Linked DNA regions of Notamacropus eugenii. The protein of the gene in region 1 interacts with the protein of each later gene in a pairwise test. Links are inferred from orthologs where the notes say so. Each region holds a gene or a part of one and is shown in the gene's direction. Other genes may lie near its edges. The genes, in order: PDLIM7, GEM, PHF1 and ZMYND11.

Region 1 (7,174 bases):
TAGGATAATTTAATTCGACAGGATTTATTTAGTGACTGTGACATTTATTTATAGAATGCATATAGAATGCAGGGCTCTATGTTAGGCAATGGGGACATAACGATGAAAATTCATGGGACTGTAATTTTAGAGCTGGTAGGGACTTTAGGGGTCACCTTGTCCATAATCAACCGCACTTTGTAGCTGAAGAACGTGAGCCTGAAAGTGCTGAAGTGATTTCACCCAAGGTCTCACAGTGAGCAAGTGGTACCAGAGCCAGGATTTGAACTCAGGTTTCTGACTCAGAATCTAGCATGCTCTTACATTACAACGTGGTGCCATAATTCCTGCCTTCAGAAGGAGTAGTATGTGTTTTGTGGTTATTGCTCCGTAGTGTCTGACTCTTTGTGATCCCATTTGGGGTTTTCTTGGCAAAGACACTGGAGTGGCTTGCCATTTCCTTCTCCAGCTCATTTTTTTTTTTTTTGTGGGGGGGGACAGTAGGAATCAAATGACTTGCCAAGGGTCACACAATTAGTGTCTGAGGCTAGATTTGAATTCAGGTCTTCTTGACTCCAGGCTGAGCACTCTATCTACTATGCCACCTAGCTGCCTCTAGTATATGTACCCAGATAAATATAATCCAAGATAGAATATGATAGGGGCAAAGAAAAAGGTCCAAATGCTCTAGGAAAATCTGAGAGGGTTCACTATCTGAGGGATGCATCAAAAAATGCTTTGGGGAGGAGGCTGACTGATACACAGATGCATTCTAGGCACAGGAGACAGCCAGGTGAACAGGCCTGAAGATGAAAGATGGTATTGTTGCTTGTGAGGAACAGAGAGAAGGCCATGGCCATTTTTGTACTTTGGAAGTTTTTCCATTTTCTCTATGTTGCTAGTACAGTCCCCTTGAAAAAGCTTACAACTGGGAACATGTACACTAAGGCTAGGAGAATCAGTGGTATCAGCAATCCCTAGAGGTCAGACAGGGACTGGGGGCAGTGGGAAAGACAGAAAGGCTTGCCCTGCTCCACCCTTACCATCAAATAAAGAGATCAGACCCTGCTGCTACCCACTGAACACCTTCACCCAGTCTCCCACCAATAACTAAAATCCAAGGGAGGTAGAGATGAGTTTGAAGGAGAGATCCAGGCAAATTGCTAGGAGAAATGTGAAAAGGGAGAGAGAGAGAAAGACAGAGAGAATCAGTTTTACCTGATGAGGGGGGGGTAAGGCATCAGGGAAGGAAGCCTTCATGGAAGTGGTGACACCTGAGTTGGCCCTTCAAAGAAGTGGAGTATTTCAACAGATATGTGGAGGTGGGGGTGTGGGATGGTTTTGAGTGAAGATCAACATCTTTGGTCAAACCCAATTCTAGCCCCTTCTGAGGGTGTTTTTGTTTTTTTTTAACTTTTTTCAAGGGGTCTCTACCCCTCTAGACAAGAGTAGAGAGGGGAGAGACTAGGGGATAGACCAGGGGTGGCCTTGAGGCCACATGTAGCTTGAATTCAATCAAAGGGTTACATTTGAGGGCCTAGAAGGCCACATGTAGCCTTGAGGCCAAAGGTTCCTCACCCCTGGATAGACCAATTAAAGTATCCATTGCAATAGTCCTGGCAAGAATGATCAGGCAAGGGTTGAACTATGACCCTATAAGTGAAAAGAAGGGGATGGATCCAAGGTACATTACAGAGGTAGAATCAACAAGATTTGGCAACTGGTCAGGGAGAGGGAAGGAAGAAGAGCCAAGAAGAACTCTGGTAGTATCACAGACAAAGTAGGGAAGGCTGGGGAAGGGGCAGTCTAGGCAGAAAGCAGCCCTGTGGGTAGAGGCCCCTTGGGAAAAAGTTAAAAAAACAAAAACATCCTCAGAAGGGGCTAGGATTGGGTTTGACTGAAGATGCTGATCTCAGAGCTAGAGGGACCACAGAGGGTCTCTAGTAATAAATTAAAAAAAAAAAAAGAAATAAAAATAAATAAAAAATAGAAGCTCCTCACAACCTGCCCTGCCCCCTTGCTTCTGACTGAAGACCTCCAGTGATGGAGAGCTCATTGCTTTCCTGCCTGGATTATTCTCTGTAGCTAGGTCTCCATCCAGGCAACTGCCTCAACTTGCTTTGCCTTGAATGAGTTTGGAGAAGTCCATAGATTCTCTAAGATCCCAGTCCTTTTTTTTGGGGGGGGGGGGAGAGGTCAGAAGGAGATAGAGCCCATGCTCCACTCTTCATTCCTAGTCTTCTGTCTTCTCCCCATTTTTATGTCTTCACTCAAAACCATCCCACACCCCCACCTCCACATATCTGTTGAAATACTCCACTTCTTTGAAGGGCCAACTCAGGTGTCACCACTTCCATGAAGGCTTCCTTCCCTGATGCCTTATCCCCTCATCAGGTAAAACTGATTCTCTCTGTCTTTCTCTCTCTCTCCCTTTTCACATTTCTCCTAGCAATTTGTCTGGATCTCTCCTTCAAACTCATCTCTACCTCCCTTGGATTTTAGTTATTGGTGGGAGACTGGGTGAAGGTGTTCAGCGGGTAGCAGCAGGGTCTGATCTCTTCGTTCCATTATAATCACCTTGAAGGTAGGACTGTCCTCAGCGTATAATCGGGTGTTTGATAAAGTTGGCTGAATCAAACTGAGCTGATTATAGGGATACAGTCAGCTAGACATAGATCTCTCAGTCAGCTTCGAGCAGCACTTAACAGAAGCAAGGGTTATTTTTTTTTCGGGGGGGGTGGGGGGCAGGTTACTTCCTTGAGGAGGGGTGGAGGATGAGGGAAAGTTTCTTGGAGGAGACATATAGTGTTTGTCTGGTAGGAAGGGAGCTGAGGGGGAGGGGACACTTGGGGGTGGTTTGTTGTGGCCAAAGCCTTTGGAGGGTGCCTGGAGATTGGTACCAGGGAACAGGGCAATGCAGTCAGTGAAAAGACTTCTAGATGTTATGTAACTACAAAAACCTGGAAACAACCAAAATGTCCAACAACCGAAGAATTCAAGAAATCATGGTATATTTGTAATGGAATTCTATGTCATAAGACCCACAAGTTAAGAACACAAAGAAATCTCTGGAAAGACCTTTAAGAAAAAACGGCAAAGTAGAGAAAGCAGAAGAATGGAATACTTACTTCTATGACCATATAAGACAAAAAGTGAATGAGAATGAATAGACAAAGAAGGAATTCTGAGGTGAACTGAGAGGGAGTGACCCAAAAATTCTTATGATTCTTCATTTTGAAATTGATTAAAATATTTTATTTATATCTTTTGTTTTTACATCACATTCCTCTCCAGACATATTCCTTCCTCCTTGTGCCCAGAGAAACATCCCTTGTAACAAAGGATTAAAAAAACCCAGAAGAGTAGTGAAGTCCAACTAATCAGTACATCGACAAAGCCTAACCATGTGTGCCACGTGCTGCACCTACAGGGTCCCCCACCCCCAGTAATTGATTTGAATGTAAACAGTTACTAAACAAGTTTCTGCGGTCATCTTGAGGGTCGATTTTAAGCTTTTTTAAAAAATTATTTTATTTTCAGCACTGCCTTCTCTCTCTCTCCCCTCCTCCTCCTCTTTTGGGAAAGCAAGAAAAACATTTTACAAATATGTAGAGTCAAGAAAAACAAATTCCCTCCCTGGCGACGTCAAAAACACAAGGGCTCAAGCTCCAAGTCTTGACGTTTTTACCCTGTCCCCCCTTTTAAGTCTAGGCAGGAAGTCGGGAGATCTGGGCTCTCATTAGGGTCTGCTCCCGGGAATCCTGGATAGAGCCTGAACTGGCAGAAGGCAGCTCTTGGTGCGGACGCTGCGTCCGAGCACTGCTCAGCTGGGTGACCGGACCAGTCCCTGAACCTGGCCGAGTCTCAGGTGCCCCGTGAAATAAAGGAGAGTGCGCTCGAGGACCTGCGGGAGCCAGGGCCAGCCCTGCCACCCCGCTGCAAAGAGAAGTCCACCCGAGCTGCTCGCTCTCGGGGCATGCAGGCCCAGGCGCGGAGCTCCCGGGGAGCGTCCACCTCGCCCTCGGGCATCCTCCGGGGCTCGGCCCGCAGGGGCGGGGAAGGTGGGAAGGGCGCGGTCGCTCCCGGACTCTTCGGGTCCCCCCCGGGCCGCCCGAGACAAAGCGGGAGAAGGGGCGGGGCTCGGACGGGGGCGGGGCATCGGGGGCGGGGCCTCCCAGACCCGCCCCCGGGAGCTCAAAGGCGGTGGCGGCGGCTCCGGGCGGAGCCAGAGCGCGCCGGGGCCGGCCCGAAGCGGCTCGAGTGCGCGCAGCCCGCGGTCCCCACGGCGCCCCCGACGCCCCGAGCGCTGCCAGGTAACCGGCGGTGGGCAGCGGGCGCGGGCTTTCCCGAGCGCGGAGCCACGCGGCTGCCGCTGCCGCCCCCGCCTCTGCCCCGGGGCTCCCGCTCCGGGCACCCCGCCCTGTCCGGCCCGGGGCTTCGGGCTCAGGCTGGGGCGAGAGCAGCCCCGTGTCAGGGCCCGGCCGGCGGCCCCGCCCCGGGAACTGGGAGGGAGGCAGGGAGGGAGTCGCCCCGAGCACCCCCCATCCCGGGGGCGGTGGGGGAGCTGCTGAGTCCGCTTCTCCCGGAGGGCGGGCGGGCCTGGAGACTCCGGGAACCACCGGACCCCTTCTCCTTTCCTCCCCGAGCTGCGGTGGGGGACTGATGGACAGCCCCAGTCTTCCTTCCCTCGGTGGGGGGATGGGTGGCTGACCCTCGGTCCCTCCCCGGGGAGGGGGCTGACATCGCTGGGGGGATTGGAGGCGCCGCCTGGAGCCGGTCCGTTTACCTTCTTGGGAGGCGAAGGCGCTGACTTAGCTTTCTCGGCTCTCCCCGATGGGGGAGGGGGTGCCGGGACGCACTTATCTGTCAGTTCTTCTCCTCTGCTACCAGCCTGCCTTGCTTGTCCTACCTCTCCCAGAGGCTCCGGAAGTCTCGTGAGGATGCTGACCTCCGGACGTGAGCTTCTGCCCTTTCTCTTCGGGGGATCGGAAGGCACCTCCAAGGCCATCTATGGTCCGACCCTCTCATTTTACAGATGAGGAAACTGAGCCTCAGGGGGGGGTTAGATGACTTGCCACAGGCTCAGACCCCTCCTGTCCTTTCTCAGGGAGAGGGAATATCTTTCATCTAATGTCTGGGAGACCTACCCTTAGGCAGTGGTACCCTTCCAGTCCACAAGACTGTTGGACAGTACATTTTAACAGGCTTCTGGGGAAACTGAGGCAGGAGGGCTAAGGGAACTTCTGGCCATATTATATATCTGGCCTGCCTTATATTGGCAGCAGCTTTCCTGGCCTAATAGTTACCTAGGTGTTAGTCCTTTCCTACCCTGAGAAGCAGGCCCTCAAATGTCAGGACCCCCACACACACCTCTAGCCTGGAAGGGTGTTGAGCACTAGGCTTGTTTGTCTTAGTTCTAGGCCACCCTTCCCCATGTTCCCTAGGGGCTCTTCAGAAAAAGAAGCAGGCCCTTTCCCTCCTCAGAGTCAACAACACATCTCCTAGGCCTGGTCTCCTTTCCTCTGAGATCAGCTGTCAGCTCAAAGGGTTCCCTCCTTCTCTTCCTGTCTTGGCTGGGGGAACAGCCAAGGCTGGGATGGGCTCCAGTCCCCTCCCCCACAATCTCTCTTCCCTTCAACCCCCCCCCCCCTCGTCCCTGAGCCCCCAACGTGCAGTATCGGCTTTCATGCCTTATATAGCCTGAGTGAGGCCTCTATGTTTCACTCTGGCCTGCCCCCACTCTGACCCTGCTCTCACCCAGAGGCTCAGGGGGTGGGGCTGGGTGGGGGTAGAGGAGAGTTTTTTGGGCTCTCCCCATCCCTGACTCTAGAAGACTACTTCCCATTGGATTCTCAGGGGACCCTTAAGCAGAACCCCTTACTTAGTGGGGGATGTTGTCAGGGGAGAAAACAATCCAGGTTAGAGATGAACTTTCTCAGGGCCTGAGCAGTTCCTTCTCTTTCCCTTAAGCAGGTCGAAGTCCTCGACTCGATGTCTGTCCATCTGGCATCTGGCCCGATGTCTGTATGTCCACTGTCAGGAACCAGTCAGCCTGCGTGCCTCAGCTGAATCTTTTCTATTTTTCCTTCAGGAACAAATCAGCTGGCACCATGAATCCATACAAGGTGACGCTGGATGGGCCAGCTCCATGGGGTTTCCGGTTACAAGGGGGCAAGGACTTCAACGTGCCCCTCTCCATCTCTCGGGTGAGACAAGAACTTACCTCCTCGTTGAATGAGGGTGGGGCAGTAGGTATTAATGTGTTCTTTCTGGGAGTTGGCATAGGAAGCAAAAAGAATGGGGCCATTGATGGTTGTTCTAGTGGGCAGGAGGATGATGATTCCAGGTCATACAAGAGTGCAGACAGGGTTTGGGACTTTGCACTTGGGACTGGGTTTGAATCTTGGCCCTACTACTACCTACATCAGTGACCTTGGGCAAGTCATTTAACCTCTGACTCTATAAAATGGGGGATAACATGACCTATCTAAAAGGGTATCATGAGGAAATAGTTTTCTTAGTGCACTGGTTGGTTTTTGGAGTCAAAAGGCCTAAACTGGAATTCAGCTCTGCTACTTATTCTGTGTGTGTGACCTAGGGCATATCAAGTTCTAGACTTGTAGCATTTTTTGTAAATTTTATAGTGCTTTAACTATGGAAAGTATCATTTGTTGAATTTTGTTTGGGCAGATGGGCTCTGCTGAGTACTAAGGGTGAGATGGAAATGGATAAAATTTGGTCAGTGGCACACAGTGGGTCTGGAGTCAGGAAGAGTTCAAATCTCTCCTCAGACACTTGGTAGCTGTGTGACCCTGGGTAAGGTACTTTGCTTGCCTCGGTTTCTTCAACTGTAAAATGGAGATAATATCGCAGCCTACCATGTAGGGTTGTGAGGATCACTTGAGATATTTGTAAAGCACTTAGCATAGTACCTGGCACACAGTAGGTGCTGTATAAATACTCATTCCTTTCCCCTTCCCTTTGTTCTGCCCCTCAAAAGCTTGCATGACACATCTGCAAATCCATAGATTATTCAAGCTAGAAGGGGACGTTAGAGATCATCTGATGTAACACCCTCATTTTCTCTGTGAAGAAAAGGGAGCCCATCGAGGGGATGTGACACAGCCAGAGTCACACATTTGTCAGTGACATCACTGAGCCTCTGTTTCAGGTCTCCCAATTCCCAGCCTTCCCT
Region 2 (7,830 bases), on another chromosome or scaffold:
AACAACTGTCGAGTACTGTTCTTGCCACTAGGAAATAAGAAATACAAGTAAAGGGGTATAGAAAGTTATTTGGCCCTACAGGACAAAAGAGAAGATGGGGACAAGGGCAGAGAGGGATGATAGAAGAGAGGGCAGATTGGTGATAGGGGCAATTAGAATGTTCGGTGTTTTGGGGTGGGGGAGGGGAAAAATGGGGAGAAAATTTGGAACCCAAAATTTTGTGAAAATGAATGTTAAAAGTTAAATAAATAAATTTAAAAAAATAAAAATAAAATAAAATAAAATCTAGCCTCACACACTTACTAGCTGTGTGGCTCTGGGCACATCACTTAACTCTGTTTGCCTCAGCTTCTTCATCCATCAAATGAACTGGAGAACCAAATGGCAAACCATTCCTATATCTTTGCCAAGAAAACCCCAAATGGGGTCACAAAGAGTCAGACACAACTAAAACAACTCAACAACAACAAATGAGTACACTATTATGTACCCACAGGAGTTACAAAGACAAAAAAAAATTGTCCTTGCCCTCAGGGATCTTCTTTTCCACTGGGAGAAGGGATATGACTGGGATATAGAAAAATAACTACCAGGAACAGCTAGGTGGCATAATGGATGGAGTTGAGGCCCTGGAGTCAGGAGGTCCTGAGTTCAAATCCAGCCTCACATACTTACTAATATGATTCTGGACAAGACATTTAATTCTAGTTGCTGGTCCTTCTCCCCCCCCAAAAGGTATGCAAATATATGCATTAATTTCTTTGCAGGGTAGAAGTACAGTAATAATAAGGGGGATCAGAAAAGACCTCATAAAGCACCAGAGATGAACCTGAAGGGAGTGAGGGATTCCGAGAGGGAGAACATCGTAGGCATGAAAAACAACCTACATAAAGGTATGGAGCTAGAAAATGGAATGTTTCATATGGGGAACAGCAATTAGGCTGTTTTTGTTTAGTTTTTTTAGAATATCAACTATGTGAAGGCAACTCATATGAAATGTCTGTAATGATAAACAGGAGCCAAACTGAAAGGCTTTCAGAAATTTCCATTTTGTCCTTGAGAGGAGAGGATAATGCTGTGAATCATAAGGGCTGGGTGGGTCCCTGGGCTGTGTATTGGAAGTGTTGCTCAAAAAGAAACTGAGCAGGGGCTCTTGATTCTTTATGGGCTTAGATAGGAGTCCTTTCTTTTCCCCTCACTGTCTAAATAAAATTTCCTGAAGTTTTGTGAGCCAAAATGCTAGTGAGGGAATTGGTGAGGTGCCAGCAATGTGAACCCTCAAGTTCCATGTGGGTCAGAGCAGTGAGGAAGATACGTGAGTGGCCCCCAAAGAGTAGCCGGATCATTGGCATCAAGACAGAGCCTTTGAGGGGAGGGTTACAGAGGGAAGCACAGGTTTACTCTGCTTCCTGTCTTCCCTCCCTTCCTTTCTCCACCTCCATTACTATACAGGGGGAATTTTCTGTTAGAATGTTATGGAGCCATCAGGATGGAGGCTGTGTCTAGAATTGTGCCTTAAAGCATTGTAGATGCTCAATAAAAATATGTCAAATTGGATTGAATTGAAACTCCACAAATAAGAATTCTTTATGAGATGAATGGGGCTTTTCCCTCTCTTTTTAGTGAATAAACCTGTGAAGATGGTGAAGCTAGTTCACAAGCGAAATTTAAAAACCCCCCACAAAGAACAACCCTTAACAAGTATATATTTCTGTGTTCTCTGCTCCTGGCAGAAGAGTGTGTGTGTGGATTGTGGTATGGGGGCATGGTGAGGTAAGTGTGGATGGGGAATTGGTCTTAATGAAGAAGGGACTTATGAAGGGATACTTGCTTTGCACAGAAAGTTGGAGTAGATGACCATTAATGTCTTCTTCCAACTTTATGATTTCATCATAGAAGATGGTTTTCTTATCGACTTATATATGCAAATTAGCTTTTCTTTTACCCCCTTTATTTATTTATTTGTTTTTGTTTTTGTTGTTGTTGTTGCTGTTGTTGTGTTCGTCCTTTGTTGCCAAAGACCATGCCATCAGAGAAATGATGACATGACTTGCACTTGACTTTGTTTTGAGTGAGGGAGGGCTGTGCAGGTCACCAGCCTCACTTCTCCCCCAGAGCCAGATATTCATCAGGATGACTGGAGAGAAAAACTTTTGAGTTTCAAATCTCTTCCTCCCTTTTTCCCCTTTCCCACCCAATGAAAAGGCAAGCAATATGATATCAATTTTACACATGAAGTCAGGCAAAACATATTTACATGTTAGTTATCCCCCCCCAAAAAAATAAAAGGCAAGAAAAATAAAGAAAGTGAAAAAAGTACCCTTCACTCTGCACTCAGAATTTATCAGTTCTCTCTCTGGAGGTGAATAGTATTTTTAATCATGGACTCTCTGGAATTGTCTTGGTTCCATTGTCTCAATCAGAGTAGCTAAGTCTTTTACAGGTAATAATCATGACAATATTGCTGTTACTATGAGCAATGTTCTCCTGGTCCTGCTTCACTTTGTATCAGTTCCCCAGATTCTTCTGAAACCATCTCTCTTCATTTCTGATAACACTTAAATTAATTCAGGCTGCTTATTGGAAGGACAAATGCTAAAACTGAAGCTTAAATACTTTGGTGACATAATGAGGAGACAGGACTAATTGGAAAAGACCGTGGTTTTGGAAAAGATTGAAGGAAGAAGTAAAAGGGGACAACAGAGGATGAGATGGAGAGATAGTATCAATGAACATGAGCTTGGACAGACTTTGGGAGATATTGGAGGATAGAAGGATCTGGTGTGCTATGGTCCATAGGGTCAGAAGAAGTCAGACACAACTGAACATCACAATCATTTATCATGATTTGTTCAGTCATTCCCCAGCTGGTGGGTAGCCCCTCTATTTCTAATTCTTTGCCCTCACAAAAAGAATCATTATAAATATTTTTTGGTCCACATAGGTCCCTTCACTTTTTCTTTGTTCTCTTTGGGGTACAGACCTAGTATTTATCTGGAGATGTCCACATCAGAACAATTGGAAGTCTGGAGTGAGAGAAAGAAGCCTAGAAGAATGTTTTCCATGTCCATGGGTTAGAACTGGTAGCTGCAGAGTTGTTATCTGTAATCAGTTATTGTCTTTTAGTGACTGCAAACTCAATATGAGTCAAGAGTGTGACATGGCAGCCAAAAAAATAAATGTGATTTTCAGCTGCCTTAACAGAAGCATAGTGTGCAGAATGAAGGATGGGATAGTTCTGCTGTTGTACTCTGCCTTAATCAGACACCATCTGGAATATTGTGTCCTGTTATGGCATGCCACGTTTTAGGAAGGACACTGATAGTCTGGTTGCATGTCTAGAGAATGGCAAGTAGAAAGTGAGGGGAACTGGAGACCATGCCATAAAAATGTTAGTTGAAGGAAATGGAAAATATTTTCTAAGATTCTTGAGAGTTAGATATTGTTTCATATTTGCTCTTGTATCCCCAGCCCCAAGCATGGTGTCTGATGCAGAGTAGATGCTTAATAAATGCTTGTTGATTGATCTGGAGAAGTCTTTGTGGAGGGAGCTTGAGAGATATCTTAAAATTATCTGGAGGAATAGCATATGGAAAAGGGATTAGATTTATTTTGTTCAGTCCCAGAGCCACGACTCGTAGCACTGGGTGAAAAATGAAGAAAAGCAAGTTTATGCTCCATGTAAGGAAGGACTCCCCTCAATCAGAACTATTCAGAAGTGGACCAAGCTGCCTTAGAAGGTGGTGAGGTTCTCATTGATGGAGACCTTTCAGTGGAAGCTGTGTGATCACTTGCCAGGGAAGTGGTTCAGCAGATTGCTGCTCAAGCAGGGTTCTATTAGATACCTCCTTGAAGTCCTTTCCAAATTCTGACATTCTGTGACTTTTGGGACTTTTGGGACTGTTGGAATAGAATCTGTGGTCTATAATAGATGTGTATGACTGGTTGGATAGAAGAAAAGATGTATTTGAATGGTGTTTCAATAACTCTTCTCTCTTCAGCAACTAGTCATTCAGGATAATCCACAGTGCAGATAAATCACCCACAGATAACCAAAAAAATTGACTGTAGTTTCCTTTAAATTGGAGGAACATTTGAACTTGGCTACTGAGATAGCTGCAGTGCCTTTTGGCTCCTTCTACAACTCATTGGCCAAGCCAGGAGCAAAGTTAGCTAGAGGAAAAGAATGATACATTGAAAATGTCCTGAGTCATCTCCCAATAGGGCATCTGGGGAAATTCAGGTGTCCTCTAAGAAGGGATAATTTAGGTGCATTTGCCTGTAGATTAGGACTGACATCACATGCACACTATTCAAAGGAATCCCTTAGGTGCCTTGGGTTGAAGGAGAAGTCATTCCTGCCCCTGGCTAATGGCTTTGGCCTCACGCCTGAAGTACTGATTGATGTGTCTAGGGATTATTGCAGAGACGATGATGATGACTGAGGTTCTGATCAAATGCCCTGACGCTATAATGCCCTGCAACTGATTTCGGGGGTTTGTCATCTAGTAAGGTGGGCAGAGGCAAGTAGGGAGGGTCAGGGGAATTTACCACAATCTGTTTGGATATCTCATTGTTTCCTTCCCTAAACCGTCCTCTTTGAAGCTCTCTGTGTCTCCCCTTCTCCCCCTTTTCCTCATTTTCCGCAGAAAGAGCAGAGAATCATGAATAGCTCCCCGGCTGTCCCCACTCTTTTTTTCTTGGGCCGAAGAGGGGGTAAAACGAGACACGAGGCTGTTACTTCCATCAGAAGATGCGGCTAAAATAAATGTTTCCCTTCTCTTTCCCCCTCATCCCCCTCTTCCTCCCACCCTTTCTCCAGGTGGCTGCAGATTCATGATTCGGAGGCTGGATGTTCCAGCACCTAGGGCTGATCGATGCTGTCGTGACAAAGCAGAATGAATGGAGCCCCAGCTCCACTTTGCAAATCAGCCCCGAGCCTTTGTGTATCCTTCATCTGGGCAGCTCTCGAGTACATTGCCGGGAAAGACGATTAAGTGACACTTGGAGTATTTTTCCATTTTCTTGTTTTCACCTTGTAAAAAAAAAAAAGTCACAGGATCTGCTTCCCTGGCACTCTGGAAAAGCGGGTGGAGGTTTGGAGAGGGAGGGGGGAAGAAAAATCATATGACTGCAAGTAACTGATTTTGTGTTCGTTGGGAGCGTCTGCAACTTTGGGCTTCTCTGCATACCCGTTTCCTCCCAGCGGGGGGCCGCCTGCTCTGTGGCCAGGGCAGTGACGTCACGGAAAAGCCCTGCCTGATCAGATGTGCTTAATATAAACCTGGGGGAGCCGAGCAACGGCTGGAGAGAGTCAGCCAGTGGGAAGGAGAGGAGTTTACTCCAGCAGAGCGGCGCACCAGCCTGCGCTCACTTGCTTGCTCGTTCGTTCGCTCGCTCCAGCGTGAAGAAGAGATTCCCCAGGATCCCGCGGCTGTCTTGACTGGAAGGGACTGTGAAAAGTCAGGTAGCGTGTGTGTAAGTGTGTATGTATGAACACTCTTGGGAGGCTAAGCTGGAACGTGGGGATCTATCGGAGGCCAGAGCCCCCTCTGCAGTGAAGGGGTGCGGATGGATGGGACGAGGATGCATGGGATACGCGGCTCGGGGAGTAGTAAATGCGGCTTCCTCTGCCAACCTGAACTTTTTAAGTAGTGAAAAGTGATCTTAGAGTCTATGATCCAGGCTCGAAATGTTCAAAAAAAGAGAAAAGAACTTAAGATGAGGATAATGACAATTCTTTTTTTGGACAGAGGGGAATGATACTATTAATTTGTACCAATTTTCAAGGCAGATGGGCAGACGGATGGTGATGATGTCTTGTGTTTCTCCCCCTCCCAGCAAAAACAAAGCAAAACCAAACAAAACCCTGCCACTTTGGCTTACTGTTCTTATATGTCTTTGATCAGCTTGTCTGGAGACTGATAACGCCTGTAGTGACTTCTTGGTCAATGTATTTCTTGCTACCGAGAATGAATTTTGCGGAGGAAAAAATGTAAATGCTCCACTCTAGGTACTATCTGAGTTCACAAAACTCCAGGAAAGAGGAAGGGAGCTACAATACAGTAGCCTAGAAGCTGTAGTGGACTTGTTAGAGTGCTGATCATTCTACAAATTTTATAGTTAAGGAGGGATTTTAGAGCTCAGGCAATCCAACCCCCCTTGTTACAGATGAGGAAATTCAGACGAGAGCAGAGAAATGACTTCCTCCAAGGTCGCACAGCTTGGAAGTGTGAGAAGAGAGATTTGAAGTCATTCAAGTCAAATACCATCCATTACTTCCTCATGTCTTTCTGATGCCCAATGGGCCATTTTTTTTTCACTATCTGTTTTCTATGATTGAGGCTTCCAGAAGATTAAAAAACTTCGTTTAATTAATGAGAAATCTCAACAGGACTTAGTGAAAAGCCATGTGCATGGGCATGTTTGATAGTTTTGGAAGCAACTGAATGCACATTTAATGCCAGAATAGTGATCATCAGGGTGGTGTATTTTTTTTAAAGGCATGCCAGTGAGCAGACAGCAATGTTGAGGCATAAACCTCAGAGAGAAACATTAAAATAATAGCCTCAGCAGCTGGAGAGCATCAAAGCAATGTGACTAAACATGGTAGTTCCAATGTATATACTGCTCAAGCAGAAGGGCAATGATGTCATTGCCGTAGGTTTCCAACCAAGGCAAAGCAGGCTGATGGATAGGTCAGTGCAATTAAGTGCAGAATGAGCTGGAAAGATAACTTGGTCCCTGGTCTGCTGCTCCTCAGAATCCCTCACTTGTGGATTTAAAGGGAGTAGGATTTTTTTTTTTTAGTGTGTTTGTGACTTTGACATCCTTAGGATCAACTCATTATTAGCCCTCAGGAGCTAAGAAGCAGCTTAATATGGTAGAGAGAGCACTGGGTTTGGTGCCAGAGGTTCTGAAAATCACTTGACTTCTCTGTGCCTTAGTTTCTTCTTCTGTAAAACCAGTGACTTAGAATACATGACTTTCTAATTCTAAAAGTATGACCTATCTGGGGAGTACTCATCCCTCTATGATCCATCCGTGGTGCCTTTTCCCTTCCCTTAGAAATGACACCTAGAGCTGTTTCACTGCCTGAAATAGATGAGAAATCCTACTCCTAGGAGTATGACTGAGCAATTCAGACTTGGACCACTCAGAGCTCAGGTTTGTTTCATTGGTACCTTGTTTCTTGGGGATTTGTAGTTCTCATTTCATGAAAAAAAAATGGATGAAACTCCAACTACATAATCCTGGTGTTCTGTTTGCTCCCCAGGAACCAACAATGACTCTGAACAATGTCACCATGCGCCGAAGCAGTACGGCCCTGCAGGCACAGCAGCAGCGCTGGAGCATCCCTGCCGATGGGAGGCACCTGATGGTCCAGAAAGACCCCCACTCATACAACAACCGCAACCGATACTCCATGAACCCAGAAGACTATTACCGGCGAAGTTGGTCATCTGACTCCACAGATTCAGTCATTTCCTCTGAGTCTGGAAATACATACTATCGAGTGGTGCTGATTGGGGAACATGGTGTGGGCAAGTCTACCCTGGCCAACATCTTTGCAGGTGTGACTGACAGCATGGACAGTGACTGTGAGGTATTGGGAGGTAGGTAGTTAAGTGTTGAACTGTCTCTAGTCAACAGGCCCACATCAGCATTAAAGCAGAGCATAATAGCTGGGCTACTTATCAGTAGGGTTTAGAACTGAGATAATTCTTCTTGCCACTAACTGGTATGTAAAAGTCACAAGTCTCTGGTTCAAGCCCTGTGGACCAGAAAGAGTAAAATAACCATTGACAAAGATCAAAATCTTCTGAATCT
Region 3 (7,234 bases), on another chromosome or scaffold:
GTAATTCTGTCTTAGGTTATACGTGCAATAGGAGATGAACATGTCTGAGAGGAACGGGTATATTATCTCTTCAGAATAAGAGGTCAGCCCTAGGCTGGCTCTTATATTCTTTCCTGCATAGAAACTGCCCTGAGGATGCTCCCTATCACCTTCTTCCTTATCTCCTCGCAGCCCAGAAGGCTCCCCTAAAAACAGGACCTTGGCATACTACAACGGCCACCACAGGTGAGTAGGCATCAGTAGCTAGATCTCAGGGAAACAAGCACAAGTTGGAAAGGGAAGAATGATGGAGGGATTTGGCTGCCTGTGAATCTGAGCTTGATCTCAGCTCTGCAGCTTATGTCTTAGGTGAACTTTGGCAAGGTAAACCTCTGGACCATAGTTTGCTCTGTAAAATGAAAGAGTCGGTCACTATCAGCTCCAAATTAATTGATGTTATTGAAATTATTATCTCTTATCTTTGTACAGATGTGAAGAATAGGAAGCCAGTCTCTGCAGTCTCTACTGTCTCTGCACCAAAACCTGGTAAGTGGCTAATCTAATCCCTCAGGTTAGGCAATGTACCACTTACAGAGGGAATAGCAGTTGTACTGAGTGCTCTACAAAAACCATTAGCCCATTTCTGTCTCCCCTGTGAGATAAAAAGGAGGGAATGGGAGTTAATGGTGTTTGTTGCTCACTGAAAGGAGAAGAGAAAGGAGCTAGAGTTTTCATTCGCCTTGCTACTCTTTCCCATACCTAGTATCAAGAATGTCCCCTACAAAAACAAGGAAAGGATCTAGCAAGCGTCCAGCCTGGGATGTGAAGGGACAACTGTGTGACTTACGGAAGGAGTTCAGTGCCTGCCAGGTACAGACTGAGGTTCTAACCAGGGAGAACCAGGAACTCAGGAGCCAGTTTGGGCAAGCTGATCAACAAGCCAAAACTCTGGAGGCTGAGAACAAGGTGTTGATTGGGGATCTGACGGAGACTCGGGCCCAAGCTAAGCAAGACCAGCTGGAGCTGGGGAAGTTGAGGGCTCAGGTCCAGGAGCTGGAAGCACTTCTGCATACTCAGAAGGGCCTAGTTCAGTCATTGCAAGAAGAGCGGTTACAGTTGCAAGAAGAACGAAGGGATCTGGCTGCTCGGCTAGAGGTACAGGAGGTGAGTAACGCTTGGGTGGACAAAGCATCGTCCTGTGTGCGTTCACATGGAATTCTTGCTGAGCCTCCGCTGGGGGATGTTTGACCTTCTCCCTTTTACTTGTGTCTTGGAGTGTGTCCTCCCTTCTCAGAGTTTTCATCTGAGCTGAAGGCCCCTTCCCTCACTTTTGAGCTGTGTCTTTCAAGGAATTTCCCTTGCCTCATGCAGTTTCTTGTAGCTTGATTTTGATTTCGTTTTCTCTCCTCTTTCTTGCCATCTGTAATATTCTCCTTGTTCCCTTTCTTCCATTCTATCTATATATCCTTTCCTGTTGTGCCTTACCCCATCTTCATTCTTCCTTCTCATCTCACCAGTTACTCTGTTCCCTCTCACAGTGTCCACTCTTAATACTTCCCTCCATACTTTCTAACCCCTCTTTCTCTCTTACCTCTCTGACCTATGCCAGGCACAACTCCAAGAATCAATGGCAGCTCTGGCCAAAAGTCAGGCAGATTTCACAGCCCAGGCAGACTTGTTGGCCACAAGGACAGAGCATCTGCATGGTCTTGAGATGGAGCGGCGGTATCTGCACAACCAGCTGCAAGAGCTCAAGGGTAACATTCGGGTTTTTTGTCGAGTCCGCCCTGCTCTACCTGGAGAGCCCACACCACCTCCTGGCCTCATCCTTTTTCCTCCTGGGTCTAATGGAGCCTCTGAGCCTTCCACTCGACTCAGTCTTACTCGGCCAAGTGATGATCGATGTAGCATCATAGGAGGGTTACCAAGTGCTCCTGCCCGCTATGACTTCTCCTTTGACCGAGTGTTCCTACCAGGGAGCAAACAGAATGAAGTGTTTGAAGAAGTCTCCCTGCTTGTGCAGTCAGCCCTGGATGGTTACCCTGTGTGCATCTTTGCCTATGGCCAGACAGGCAGTGGCAAGACATTCACGATGGAAGGAGGGCCAGGAGGAGACCCGCAAGTTGAGGGGCTGATCCCAAGAGCTGTAAGGCATCTGTTTTCAGTAGCCCGGAAGCTGGAGGCCCAAGGCTGGAGCTACACCTTTGTGGCTAGCTATGTGGAGATCTACAATGAAACCATCAGGGACCTGTTGGCCTGTGTGGGTGGGGCCCAAAAGTGCCAGGGGACTGAGTATGAGATTCGACTGGCTGGCCCTGGAAGTAAGGAGCTTATTGTCACCAATGCCCAATATGTCCCCGTTTCCTGCGAAGAGGAGGTAGGGAATGAGGTAGACAGAGAGGGGATAAGATCAAGGGACAGGAGAGGAGACTGGGAAGTGGGGGGGTTATAGGAAAGATTTGGGGCTGTGGGAAGTTGTCAGATTAGGTGCAAGGTATTGGGAGTGGGGGAATGTTCTACAAAAACCAAGAGTTGGGGAAAGAATATATGTGTGCTCACTGAGAAGATATTGACAATGGCAGTCTCGCTCTCCCAATTCAGGTGGAATCCCTGCTCCATCTGGCTCGTCAGAATCGGGCAGTGGCTCGAACAGCACAAAACGAGCAGTCATCGCGAAGCCACAGTGTGTTCCAGCTGCAGATTTCAGGGAAGCACATGGGGCAGAACTTACACTGTACAGCCTCTCTCAACCTAATAGATCTGGCTGGGAGTGAAAGACTAGATCCTGGCTTGTCCACTGGCCCTGGAGATCGAGAACGACTGAAGGAGACCCAAGCCATCAACAGCAGCCTCTCTACACTGGGCCTTGTCATCATGGCCCTGAGCAATAAGGTAGGAGCAAGGGAGATTGCAGCCGAGCCGTTTGTTCTGAGATATTAAAATGCTGCCTTGTCCCGTTGTAACCTCCATCTCCCCCACAACCCAGGAGTCGCATGTGCCATACCGGAACAGCAAACTCACGTACCTGCTGCAGAATTCTCTAAGGGGCAGTGCCAAAATGTGAGTAGTAAGAATAGGAACTGATAGACTAGCTTGTTAAGGATGGAAGAAACTTGCAGACTGGCTCTAAGCAACACTAACAGGTGTGAACCAGGGCCGGAGGAATGTCTTGAGAATGTTGCCTTTGTGCTAAACCCCTTCTCCCACCCAGGCTTATGTTTGTGAATATCTCCCCATTGGAAGAAAACTTCTCAGAGTCCCTCAACTCCCTGCGATTTGCCTCCAAGGTACAGACATCTCCCATGGGTCCTTTGTTTTTCACTTCTGTCCTGTCAGTCCCTGGCTCTTTGAGGGTGTGCCCCTCCCCCTTTGCTGTTTGCCAGTTAGGCTCACTATAGCTCTCCTCTTTCCCCGGGCTAGAGTGTCTGGATACCTGCTTCCAGATTTCCTTAGGAGGTCTGGAAGGGTTGTATCCATCCCAAAGGAATTGTTCTGGTGCTGACACAGGCATCTCTTCTTTTCCTCTCCCAGGTAAACCAGTGTGTTATTGGCACTGCTCGAGCCAACAAGAAATAGAAGGGCCATCTTTGGTGTCCTGCGTGTATGTGGTTTTTATGTATGTTTAAGGGGATATTTTTAATTAGAGTGGTAACTGAGTTTATATAACTAGGTGAATATAACCATGTATCACAAAATAAAATTATCTTAGCACATGTTCTCGGTGATTTTATGTGTTGGTTACTTTTGCTGAATTGCCCTCCCCTTGTTCTTTAAGAACTGATGCCCAAGAAGGGATGTATTTGGAAATGCAGGCAAAGGGCCCTTAAGAAATGGCTTTCTTCGACCACTTTCCCGGGAAGTTTCTTTCTGGAAAGCTGGGGTAAGGGGCCGAGCGATTTGGCCAGGGATCTCCTGGTGCCGCCCTTGGCACCGTCCCCGTCTGTCCGTCACTCGGAAGGTCCGCGGCGCGCTCGGGGCTGGCAGCTCCGGCCTGGGCCGCGGCGGGCCGGGCTGACCGCTCGGACGATGCATGACTCAACGCCCGCTCCCGCTGGAGCGCCCCATTCAAACGGCCCGGGCCCCGCCCCGTTTCCTTTCCATTGGCTCTGCCTGCGTTAACGCCCCCGGCCCCGGCAATTGTCCGACCGCTCCCCTCCGGCCCTCCTCCTTCCTTACTGCCCCGCGCCTCCCGCCCTCCTGCGCCTGGGGAAGCAGAGCGAGGGAACGCTGCGCCAGCCCCGACGGCCCCGCCCGGCGGGGAGAGGGGGGCGCTCCAGCTCCGCAGGTGCCGCGCGCCAGCGCGGAGCGGAAAGCTGGGGGAGGGAGGTGGGTCCGCGCATGCGCCTTGGCGGGGGAGGCTGGGTGGGCAAAACCGGGGGGAAGGGGGCGGGGCCGGTGGGCAATTAGAGGGAGGGGGGTAGGGGCCGCGGGGGGGCCAAAGGTGCGGGAATGGGCTGGTGGGGGCGGCTCCCGGGCAGTTTCGGATTGTGGCGCGAGGCGCGGAGGCCGCGGCGGGGGCGGGGCCGGGGCGGGAGCCGAGCAGGGATTCCCTGCCGCCGGGGGCGGGCCGGGGCCACTCGGAGGGATTCCCCGTCGGCCTCGGCGCCTGGGTCCTGGGAGGAGGGCGTGCACCCGGCCCCACCCCACCCCGCGTGGCCCGCCCGGGAGGCGTAGGGGGTGGGGTGAGGTGGTTCCCGCCCCCCTCCCCCCAGCTCCTCCCTCCCTCCCAGGCCTCCCCCCCCCAGTCAGTCCGTCCCTCCCCTCCCTCCCTCCCTCCTCCTCTCCCTCCTCCTGCTGCTGCCGCCGCCGCCGCCGCCGCCGCCGCCGCTGCTTTGGCTGCTGCGTCATACGCCCCAGAGCAGCCGGGACCGAGGGGCCGGGCCCGGGGACCCCCCCAGCCTCTGTCTGCCCCCTCCCCCGGACGCCTGGACATCTCGACCCCCGCCCCGGCCCCCCCACGGCTCCCCCTCCCCAGCTCCCCGGCGGCCGCAGCTGTCACCGGTAAGGAGGAGGCGGAGAGGGCGGGGGGCCGAAGGAGTACTGGGAGGGGGGGGGGCCAGGCGGGGGAGCCCCCCTCCCCCGGGAGAGGCGTTGGCGCTAGGTGGGGGAGGGGTCCTTCTCTGGCTCCCCTCCACCCTCTCGTCTCCCCCCACCCAGCCTTTCCAATCACATGCATGCAGAGACCCCCTTTTGCAAGGGGGCTGCCTCACGTCACCTCCAGGTTTGCCCCATCTCGGGGAGTAGAGATTGGGACCGGGACACGCCCCCCTCCCTAGCTACACGGGAAGTTATCCGCCCCACCCCCACACCCCTGGGTTAGAGAACCTCAGATTGGAGTGGGACTCAAGATAATCCAGGAATAGGAAGATTCTTCAGCATGGATCGGAGGGAATCTCATTACTGAGGACCCCCTTCCCCCCGAAAAGCAGGTTGTCTGAACTCTGACATCTCTGGACAGGGAAATTCCAAGATGAAGCCAGCCAGGATGTAGGGGTGGGACTAGGACCTAAGGGGAGGCCTCTTTCTCCAATCCATCATCCTCTTAAAATCCTTGAACCAAGAGAGAAACTCCCTGAGAGAACCAATCCCTGGAGGAATCTTGGGGGTGGGAGACTAAGAATCAGGTGTCTGTGCTCCCTCTCCCTCGAATCTTAGAAACCCCCTCAGTGCGGGTCTGAAAGAGAAGACTATGGGCTTTTGTGATATCGAACTGGGGAAGCAAGGAGAAAGCTGGAATCTTGAATATTTTGAGTCCCCTTGGGGGAGCCAAGCAGGAAGAGGTGATTGCTGTTGGGGGTGGGGAAGGTAACTCTTCCCCCCTTGTCCTACCAGGCTCCCCAGGATGCAATGGCGCAGCCCTCCCGGCTGAGCCGCTCTGCTGCCCCCCAACCCTGGGAGCCCACTCCCCCAGCCCCTTCCCCAGGTACCAGACCCCGGCTTTGGGAGGGACAAGATGTTCTGGCCAGATGGACTGATGGACTCCTTTACCTGGGAACTATCAAGAAGGTGAGATCTAAACCTCTGACCTCAACCTCAACCCCACTTTTCTCCTGAAACATTAACTTTAGTATTCCCTTTCCATCCTCTTGACTCAAATCAAATGTCCCTTTCTCAGCATTCACCTCCTTTTCTCTCTCCCAGGTGGATAGTGCTCGGGAGGTCTGTCTAGTACAGTTTGAAGATGACTCCCAGTTTCTTGTTCTATGGAAAGACATTAGCCCTGGTGAGATGCAAGGGAGCTTGGTCCCTAAAAAGAAGCAGGGACTGGGGGACAGAAGCTTGGCTCTTAAGAATAATGGGGCTAGAGCCTTACAGTCCTTATCTCTCTTTTCTGTTTCATAGCTGCCCTCCCTGGAGAAGAGCTCCTGTGCTGCGTCTGTCGATCTGAGTCTGTGGTCCCTGGGAACCGGCTGGTCAGCTGTGAGAAATGTCGACATGGTAAGGAATGACATTTGACCTCTCCCAGCCTATTGGGGAACCACACCTTCACAGTCTATGATTTCTTTTCCATAATTTCCCTTCTTTACCCTTTTCTTGTTATAATCCTGAACCTCTTCCCCCTAGTCATTCTTCCCAATACTTTACCCTCAACCCTCCATGATCCTTCTTCTCACCCCCCAGCATATCACCAGGATTGCCACATTCCAAGAGCCCCAGCCCCTGGAGAAGGAGATGGCCCATCCCCTTGGGTCTGCAGGCAGTGTGTCTTTGCCATCGCTACCAAGGTACCGAAATCACTCCTCCCCATGGTAGATACCACTCACCTCTCTCTATACACTGACCTTCCACCCTACCCCCAAGCTGTCACTTAACTTTTCTCTTTCTTCACCACCAAACTATCTCAATGTGTTTGTCCCTGCAGAGGGGAGGTGCCCTGAAGAAAGGTCCTTACGCACGGGCAATGCTGGGGATGAAGCTGTCTTTGCCATATGGACTGAAGGGCCTGGACTGGGATGCAGGACACCTGAGCAACCGACAGCAGAGTTACTGTTACTGCGGGGGCCCTGGGGAGTGAGTCACAGAAAGAAGGGAAGGAATGGGGAGGCTTTCTGAAGGGGGGGGTGATGCCAGTGAGTCAAGGTAGGTGCTAGGGAGAGATTTGGGGGAAGGGAACCCAGTTGTAGTAATGAAAGTGATGGCAGATGATAGGGTTGTGGAGGCAGAACAACTGCAGGCCTCACCTGGTACTCTCTCTCAGGTGGAACCTAAAGATGCTACAATGTCGGAGTTGCCTCCAGTGGTTTCACGAGGCATG
Region 4 (7,209 bases), on another chromosome or scaffold:
AATAAGTATCAAAAGGAATCTTTACAGGTTCTGGCACCATATCCTGGGCAACTAGCACTTCCAAACTATCAAGGGCATAGCTGATAATTTTGTCAGAGGAAGAGATTTTACTCTATCTAAGCAAGAACAATCTAGCCTTAAATTCCATTGCTTCAGAAGAGGCTGGTGCTCACATCAGCATATGGACTATGTCCCTTTTCTCAGGAAGGATCCAAGGAGTCTGTGGAAGCATTCACATTCCACTTATTTGCTATCCATAGACATCTAGCCAGCTGTAGCATATTTATCAATAAACCCCACTGGGGTATATATACATATATACATTCACACAAATATACATATATACACATACGCATGTGTGTACATATATGTACGTGTGGGTATACACAGGTATCAAACTAGTATATTGGGTTTTGCTCTCACCTTTTATTGGCATGCCAAAACCATTCATCAGCTCTCTAGAGAATATTTGCTGCTACAAGTTAGGGAATGGGCAGAAGAGATCTGTCTCCTCTCTAACTCATTGAATGAGTCCCATAAAGCTGACAGGCTAAAAGACACAACAATTGCCACCAGAAGCAAAAATAAAGTAGGGAGGTGGGGAATCAAGAACTCAGATAGGAAAGAACTCTGTTCCTTGAGCCACTAAAAATAGAGTAAAAAGATAATAGTTTAAACTAGGACTGAAAGTAAGCAATGTTAGATGGAAAGGACAGCATTTGACACTAGAATGGGAGAGTGTAAGTATACAGAATGCATGGAAAGCCTTGCTTAAAACTAGGCTCAGTAATGTGAGTCTACACCTGTGATTTATGTCAACTATATTACAATCTGTCCTCCAGTTCTATCACAGTATAATAAAATTTAGTCAAGGACTTGAAATTATCTGTGCATATTGCACTACACACAAGGTGATGTTAGAAAGAACAGTGTTTGAAATCAGGACACCTGGGTCAGAGTTTGGACTTTTGCCTGTGTGGTGATGCACAAGACTCCACAATTCTGTTCTTCAGTTTTCTCATCTGGAAAATGGAGATAATAACACACCACAGCACCAGTAGTAGTGCTGTCATGAGAAAAGCATTTTTGAAAAGTCCTATAAAACTCTAAGTTAGTATTGCTTTTAGAGAAGAAAAGGAGAGTCTAGGATTCAGTGTGGTGTTACATCTCACAGCACTTTGTACTTCCCTTATCTATTTGAGTTTGAATTATGGTTATTTCTGTGCATGTCATATCCTCTTCTAGCCTGCTTGAGAGCAGGGTACCCTCTTCTATCTTTGCAGTTCTATCAGGTCCTGTCACTGTGCTTTGTGTATTGAAGGTACTTATCTAAAATGTTTGTTGAATGGAGAAGACTGTCTTTTTTTTTTTTAACTGTTGCCAGTGGCATCATCCAAGAGTTAACTCCAAAAATACCCCAGAGATAGCACATGGAGTTCATTCACAGTCTTACTACACTGGGTTCCAATTTAAGATTTCTAGATGAGAATACATCATATGTTGACTGGCAATTTGGAATACTGAAAATTCAATCTATTCAGCATTAGAATATTTCAGCATTAGAAAAGATCCAGCAAGTGGGTCTAGGCTACTGTCTTAACCTTTTTCTCCCCCAAAGTTGTGAACCTGGTCTCTCAACCATTTTTCCCCAGTAGGAATATATCATTTATGTAATAATCAAATTGTATAATGTCTTTAAATTGCTTTGCTAATCTTAAAATGGATAGCTAGTTGGAACAGTGGAGAGAGTTGGGGGCTGGAATCAGAAAGACTCATCTCCCTGAGTTCAAATCTAGCCTCAGACATTTGCTAGCTGTGTGACCCTTGGGTCATTTATCCCTATTTGCCTCAGTTTCCTCATCCGCAAAATGAACTGGAGAAGGAAATGGCAAGCCACTCTAGTATCTTTGCCAAGAAAACCCCAAATGGGATCATGAAGAGTCAAACATGACTGAAATGACTGAACATCAATCTTAAAATACTATATAAAAGTTCATTATTATTGAAATTTACAAGGATATTGTATATATTAACTTTTTGAACTTTGAATTTATTTCCTATAAAATGAGAAATGTCATAATTTGTATATGTACATATGGATACATGTATATCATAATTTTTGTAATAAAAACGGAGCTGGTTTGTGGACTACAGTTTTTAAGGTGAATTCTGGAAAGCCTAAGGATGGCCTTTAGATTAAACCAGAAGCGGCTTATGCAGTAATACAGGGTTTGAGGTATATGTGTGTGAGGTGGGTGGTCACAAGGATTGGGATAGTCATAGGGGCTGATTCCATTGATAGAGGGCTTTCTGAAATAAAGAAACCTCATCAACCAACGCAGTTCAGACCTTGGGTGTAATTTGCAGAGTTGTGCCTAGAGCACTGAGAGATTAAAGTGACTTGCCCAGGTTCACTCACAGTACCAGTCAGTGGTAGAACATGAACACAGGTCTTCCTGGTTCCAAAGTCATCTCTATCTATCTATCATCTATCTATCTATCTATCCGTCTATTTGTCTATCTGTCTCTCTCTCTGTCTGTCTGTCTAGCTATCATTTCCTACTGCCAGGAAGCAAACTTTTTTGGAGGGCGGGGGAGTGAAAAGAGGTAATTACCTAGTCCTTCAGATAGCTGTATTTTCTGTTAACTATTTCTGAGAGTAGAAAACACAGTGGACTAGATGTCATGAGATGTGACTTCTAATTTCAGCTTGAGTGTACTAAATTAACTGTGAACTCATTTCACCCTTTGGGTGTTTTTCTTTAAGGTCCCTTCCAAATTTAATATTCTCTGATTCATTGATTCCTAAGTACCCTTTGTGCCTTTCAAACTTCATCTCTATTTTTTCTACCTCTGTCCTTCAATCATCCTCTTTCCAAAGTGGAGGTAGACAGGGTTGGGTGCTGCTTTCTTCCCCCAAACCCCAGACTGAGGAGAGATTAGCTGCTGGTGAGTGTAGTGGGTCAAAAAACATCATACTCTGAAGGGAAAATTATCAGGTTAATTTCAGGGGAAAAGTCACAGAACAGTGATATATAGTGAAAATACACACAAATGAATTAGTCGGTGATGAGAAAAGCAACAGATAAAAATTGAAGTAATTTGCAAGACATAATTGGATTGAAACTTGAATTTATGTGACAGTTTTTCTTATACCTTTTTTTAACACAAACACAATGTAGCTTATCTGTGTGTCTATGTATACACTAAAATGAAATAATGTAACTATTTTTGAAATACTTGGGGCCAACTATTTCCACCATTTCATAGACTGAGAATTTGAATTGCATACAAGTTGATTTATTTACTTTCATTAGCCAGTAGTGGAATTAATTTCTCCTGTTCCTTTTGATACTGCTACACCTTTTCTTCACACCTTTTCTTTGTCTTAATTTTTCTGATAACTCCTCAATACCATCTCCAAAAGTGTAGGGTGGCATGTTCTTCAAATTAATTTTGTTTCCAGAATTTTGGGATGTCTCATGAGATAGCCAGAAACCTCCAGCGGTATAAGTAAATCAAGGTTGGGAATCACTTAATAGGCCAGGCTATGGTAATATTTGTTCCATCCCTGAAGCAGACCACCTAGTAAGGCAGGGTGGACAGACAAGCACGTCTATACACTTCTGTTCTTCCAAGTTCCAACCCAATCTTTAAAGCTTGGCGGAAGGATGATGAGTTGGCTTAAAAATGATGCCTCTCCCTGACCAACTGCCTTCCAGTCACAGTATCAGATTTAATAACCAGGTAAGAGACGGAAAAAAAAAGGTTTTTGGTCACAGGGCCCTAAACGACAGGCATTCAGGAAGGAGTCCAAGATGTACAAAGCCAAGCTCACCTGCTCCCTTACCTTCCTGAACTGAACATCAAGATTTCTCGTGGCCTAATTTACACCTGGCGATTGTAAAGAACAATCTCCTCCTCTAATCCTTGTTTGTGCCGGCCTTGCTAACATGAGATGTACCAGCAGATCTTTCCGCATCCGAGCCTGGGACTAGGGGACCTTCCACTTCTCGGGCTACACCTCCTACATCGGGTCCTGAACCTCTCCCCCAGAGTCGGGTGATTTAAAGACGAATGCCTGCGAGGGGCTGGGAGAGACCTCCCACGGGCACACAAACACGAACACCACGGACACACACACGGCAGCGTAATCCCGTTGAACCCCGGCCCGGCCAGAACCACGCACACCCGCCACCTCTCTGACCGCGGCCACGACGAACAATGAGAAAGCCAGCTCCCGGTCCCTGTCCGCCTAGGGTCGCTCTCCGTTACTACCCGAGTGTGCACGAGAGGTTCTTCGCACGTGCCACAGAATCCACCCGAGAGGAGGCACTCCAGAAGTGAGGAGGGGGGGTGGGGCGGGAGCTCGGGGAGCCTGGGTGTAAATGCAGATTTATTTTCATCGTATAAATACACGTAAAAAAAAATCCGTGCTCGGGGAAGGAAGCAGGTCCGGAGGCAGCCGCTAGAGTTCCCCTTCTCCCCACGCGGCGGCTGCGCCTTCTCGCCCCCTCGGAAACCAACCCTGTTTACCCCGAGAAACCTGACCTGTGGACACGGGGGGAGGGGGATCAGACACAATAAAACTCCAGGGGGGGGCGAGGGAGAGGGAGAGCGAGGGAGGGAGCGGGGAGGAGGGAGGGAAGGAAGGAGGGGGAGGGGAGGAAAACACACGCACACGCAGACACACACACACGCACGCACACAAAACCAACATGTGAAGGGGGAGGCAGCAGCGGCCTGGGGACGGGATTGAAAAGTTTCCCCCGGCAGCCAGGCAGGCCGGCGGGCGCGCCTCCCAACTTCTCGCCCCCCCTCCCCCGGCCCCCTCCCTCCTTCCCTCCCTCCTCGCTCCCCGCGCCCTCCGCGCTCGCTCGCTCCCTCCCTCCCCTCCCTCGGCTCGGGAGCCAGCCCGCCGCCCTCCCGCCCGCCCGCCCGCGCGCCGCCGCCGCCGCCGCCGCAGCACCAGGTGAGGAGCGGAGCGACGCTGTAAGTGGGGAAGAGGCGGGCGGACCGAGGGGGAGGCTGGGGCTGGGGCGGCCGGGCCGAGGGGGCCCCGCCGGGCGGACTCTGCCCCCGCCGCCCCGGGGCGGCCCCCGCGCGCGCCCTCCCCGCCGCCCCTGCCTTCTCGTCCTCCATTGTCGCGGCTGCTCTCCCGCCCCCCCGCCTCGGGTCTCTCGCCTTCTCTCTCCCGGGGCGGGTGGTGTGATGGAGGATTATCAACATGGCGCCTTCCAAACTCCCGAGCCCCGGGCCCGCGGGCCCCGCCGGGAGGGCGAGGGAGGGGAGGGCGGCGGCCGCGGGGGTCTGACCCCCCCCGCGGGCAGGCCGCCCCCCGCTCCTTCCCGCCCTTCCCTGTCGTGCTGTCCCCGGAGCTGGGAAGAGGGGGAAGGAAGGAAGGAGGGCGATGGGCGGGAGTGAGTGTGTGTGAGTGTGTGTGTGTGCGTGTGAGTGTGCGTGTGCGCGCGCGCTGGGGGGGCCCTGAAGGAGCCCGAGGCGGCAGTGGTGACGGCTGGGAGGAGCAGCCCCGGGGGGCGGGGGTCCCCGCCTTGTTGTGGCCCTGACCCCGCGCCCAGCCCCGCCATCTGCCCTCCTCCCGCTCGCTCCCTGGGGCCCCCGCCGAAGTTGGCCGCTGGAGCCGCGCGGGGCAGCGCGGGGGGGGCGCTCCCCGGCCCGGGGAGGGGGCGGCGCATCCTCGTGTCGGGGCTTCTGGACCGGTGTCTTTTTTTATTTTTTGGAGGGGTGAGAGGAGTGACCCCCCCCCCCCGCATACCCTCCCCTTCTCCCCCGTGGCTTTCAAAGAACGGTGGGAAAAGCTTCCCTTGCAAGAACCGCGCCGAGGCCTGGTCGGCAGCGGGAAAGCCGGGGCGTCGCGTGGAGGCCGAGGGCCGGCCGCGCTCCGTCCGGTAGCCCGGACCCTGCCCCGGGAGCCCCCCTCCACCCTCCGGGAACATGGATCTGTATGTGTGGGGGAAGGGGAGGGGAGGAGGGCGGCCGCCGGGGCCGGCCGGCGCGGCTCGTTGTCGGGCAAGGCACGGCAGCTGCCGCCGCGGGGCCCCGAAGGACGTGGGCACGAGCGGGGCTTCCTGCCGCGGGGCCTGGCGGCGCCCTCCTCGCCCTGCTCCTTCAACAGGTCCCCGCTTTGCTCACGCCTTTAAAGGCAGATAATAAAAGTTCCCCGCGTTCCCTCACCCACCTGGTGACAAGCAAGTGTACTTCCACCCCTTGGGGAGCGTTTAAGGAAAACGATGTTTGTGTTTTTGAGAGAGAAGCCCCTCGTCCCTGTCTGGACTTGCCAGGGTTCTGATGGAGTTAAAAGGAAGGAGGACAGTCTTTGGAAGAAAAGCTGCGTGGTCAGTTGGCTCTGGCTGCCCCTGACCTCTTGGAGGAGGTCCTTCCCCCCCACCCCGGGCTTCCGAAGCCTTTTAAGTTGTGTGTACTTTGATTGTTTGACCTGAGTTTTGTCCTTTAGACCGAATCTCTGGCTACTAAGGATCTGTGTGACGCCAGAAGTATTTTACAAGAACTTTGGGTCAGTGGTGAAAGCCCATCGTGAAAATATGAAACTGGTCATTTGTAAGATGGTGTTACATTCCCATGAAGGAAAATTATGAAGCAGGTGGAATTAGAGAAAAAGGCGATATTGGTTTACACTTTTAGAGGACTTGGAGTTTTCAGTCTCTCTGGCATTTAAAAGGAGGGATCTGGCACTACATCACTTTAATAAACGATTTTATTATTATCTTTTTGTCCTAAAATTAGTTTTTGAAGAAAAAAACTTTTAATAGTTCTCCCCTTCCATATAAAATGAGTTTTGTGAGTTTTAATTCAGACTTTGTTAAAAGGCATCAAACAAACTTTACCAGACTTGGGGGAGGTAAGATCATTTAGGGGGAGCAGTCTTGGGATACAATTACATTTACTTGCAAGATGTTGGGGAAGTAGCTCTTGGTTTTGAAAGTTGTGTCTTTCCTAGACAAGGATCCATTTGTAGTTTTGATTTCAGAATAAAAACCACTGAAACATACCAGCTGAGTTACTAACATATCCAAGACCCTTTGCAGGAGTATTCTGCTTAATGTTAACTGACCAGTTTTGGTAGAGTGGTCTGCTGCTTGGCTTACAATCATTGTGTTAACTCTTTTTTTTTTTTTTTATGATAGCCTAAATTAGGAATTCAAAGGTCAGAAAAGATAATGTAGCTAA

Evidence for each region.
Region 2: the proteins of PDLIM7 (region 1) and GEM interact in binary tests that used the Homo sapiens proteins (3 or more experiments, as listed by UniProt). The two-hybrid records come from large-scale screens. The link is inferred for Notamacropus eugenii from reciprocal best matches to the Homo sapiens genes PDLIM7 and GEM.
Region 3: the proteins of PDLIM7 (region 1) and PHF1 interact in binary tests that used the Homo sapiens proteins (3 or more experiments, as listed by UniProt). The two-hybrid records come from large-scale screens. The link is inferred for Notamacropus eugenii from reciprocal best matches to the Homo sapiens genes PDLIM7 and PHF1.
Region 4: the proteins of PDLIM7 (region 1) and ZMYND11 interact in a two-hybrid assay, tested with the Homo sapiens proteins (2 studies listed by BioGRID). The link is inferred for Notamacropus eugenii from reciprocal best matches to the Homo sapiens genes PDLIM7 and ZMYND11.

The regions. Positions count from the first base shown.
Region 1 is NC_092872.1:414,318,161-414,325,334, forward strand, and holds the start of PDLIM7 (PDZ and LIM domain protein 7), read left to right. Parts: upstream 1-4,164; 5' UTR 4,165-4,292; intron 4,293-4,869; 5' UTR 4,870-4,935; exon of another isoform or gene 4,936-4,992; intron 4,993-5,701; exon of another isoform or gene 5,702-5,897; intron 5,898-6,070; 5' UTR 6,071-6,089; coding exon 6,090-6,185; intron 6,186-7,174. UniProt on the Homo sapiens protein: May function as a scaffold on which the coordinated assembly of proteins can occur. May play a role as an adapter that, via its PDZ domain, localizes LIM-binding proteins to actin filaments of both skeletal muscle and nonmuscle tissues.
Region 2 is NC_092875.1:158,863,383-158,871,212, forward strand, and holds the start of GEM (GTP-binding protein GEM), read left to right. Parts: upstream 1-4,822; 5' UTR 4,823-5,467; exon of another isoform or gene 5,468-5,478; intron 5,479-7,068; 5' UTR 7,069-7,104; coding exon 7,105-7,167; intron 7,168-7,276; coding exon 7,277-7,616; intron 7,617-7,830. UniProt on the Homo sapiens protein: Could be a regulatory protein, possibly participating in receptor-mediated signal transduction at the plasma membrane. Has guanine nucleotide-binding activity but undetectable intrinsic GTPase activity.
Region 3 is NC_092873.1:89,405,639-89,412,872, forward strand, and holds the start of PHF1 (PHD finger protein 1), read left to right. Parts: upstream 1-4,218; 5' UTR 4,219-4,305; intron 4,306-4,680; exon of another isoform or gene 4,681-4,980; intron 4,981-5,089; exon of another isoform or gene 5,090-5,408; intron 5,409-5,811; 5' UTR 5,812-5,826; coding exon 5,827-5,985; intron 5,986-6,120; coding exon 6,121-6,202; intron 6,203-6,321; coding exon 6,322-6,417; intron 6,418-6,600; coding exon 6,601-6,704; intron 6,705-6,841; coding exon 6,842-6,990; intron 6,991-7,177; coding exon 7,178-7,234. Other genes in the region: kinesin-like protein KIFC1, read left to right, coding at 172-225, 469-525, 743-1,143, 1,589-2,356, 2,581-2,871, 2,966-3,039, 3,191-3,266, 3,511-3,555. UniProt on the Homo sapiens protein: Polycomb group (PcG) that specifically binds histone H3 trimethylated at 'Lys-36' (H3K36me3) and recruits the PRC2 complex. Involved in DNA damage response and is recruited at double-strand breaks (DSBs).
Region 4 is NC_092874.1:84,121,842-84,129,050, reverse strand, and holds the start of ZMYND11 (zinc finger MYND domain-containing protein 11), read left to right. Parts: upstream 1-4,205; 5' UTR 4,206-4,343; intron 4,344-4,833; exon of another isoform or gene 4,834-4,992; intron 4,993-7,209. UniProt on the Homo sapiens protein: Chromatin reader that specifically recognizes and binds histone H3.3 trimethylated at 'Lys-36' (H3.3K36me3) and regulates RNA polymerase II elongation. Does not bind other histone H3 subtypes (H3.1 or H3.2).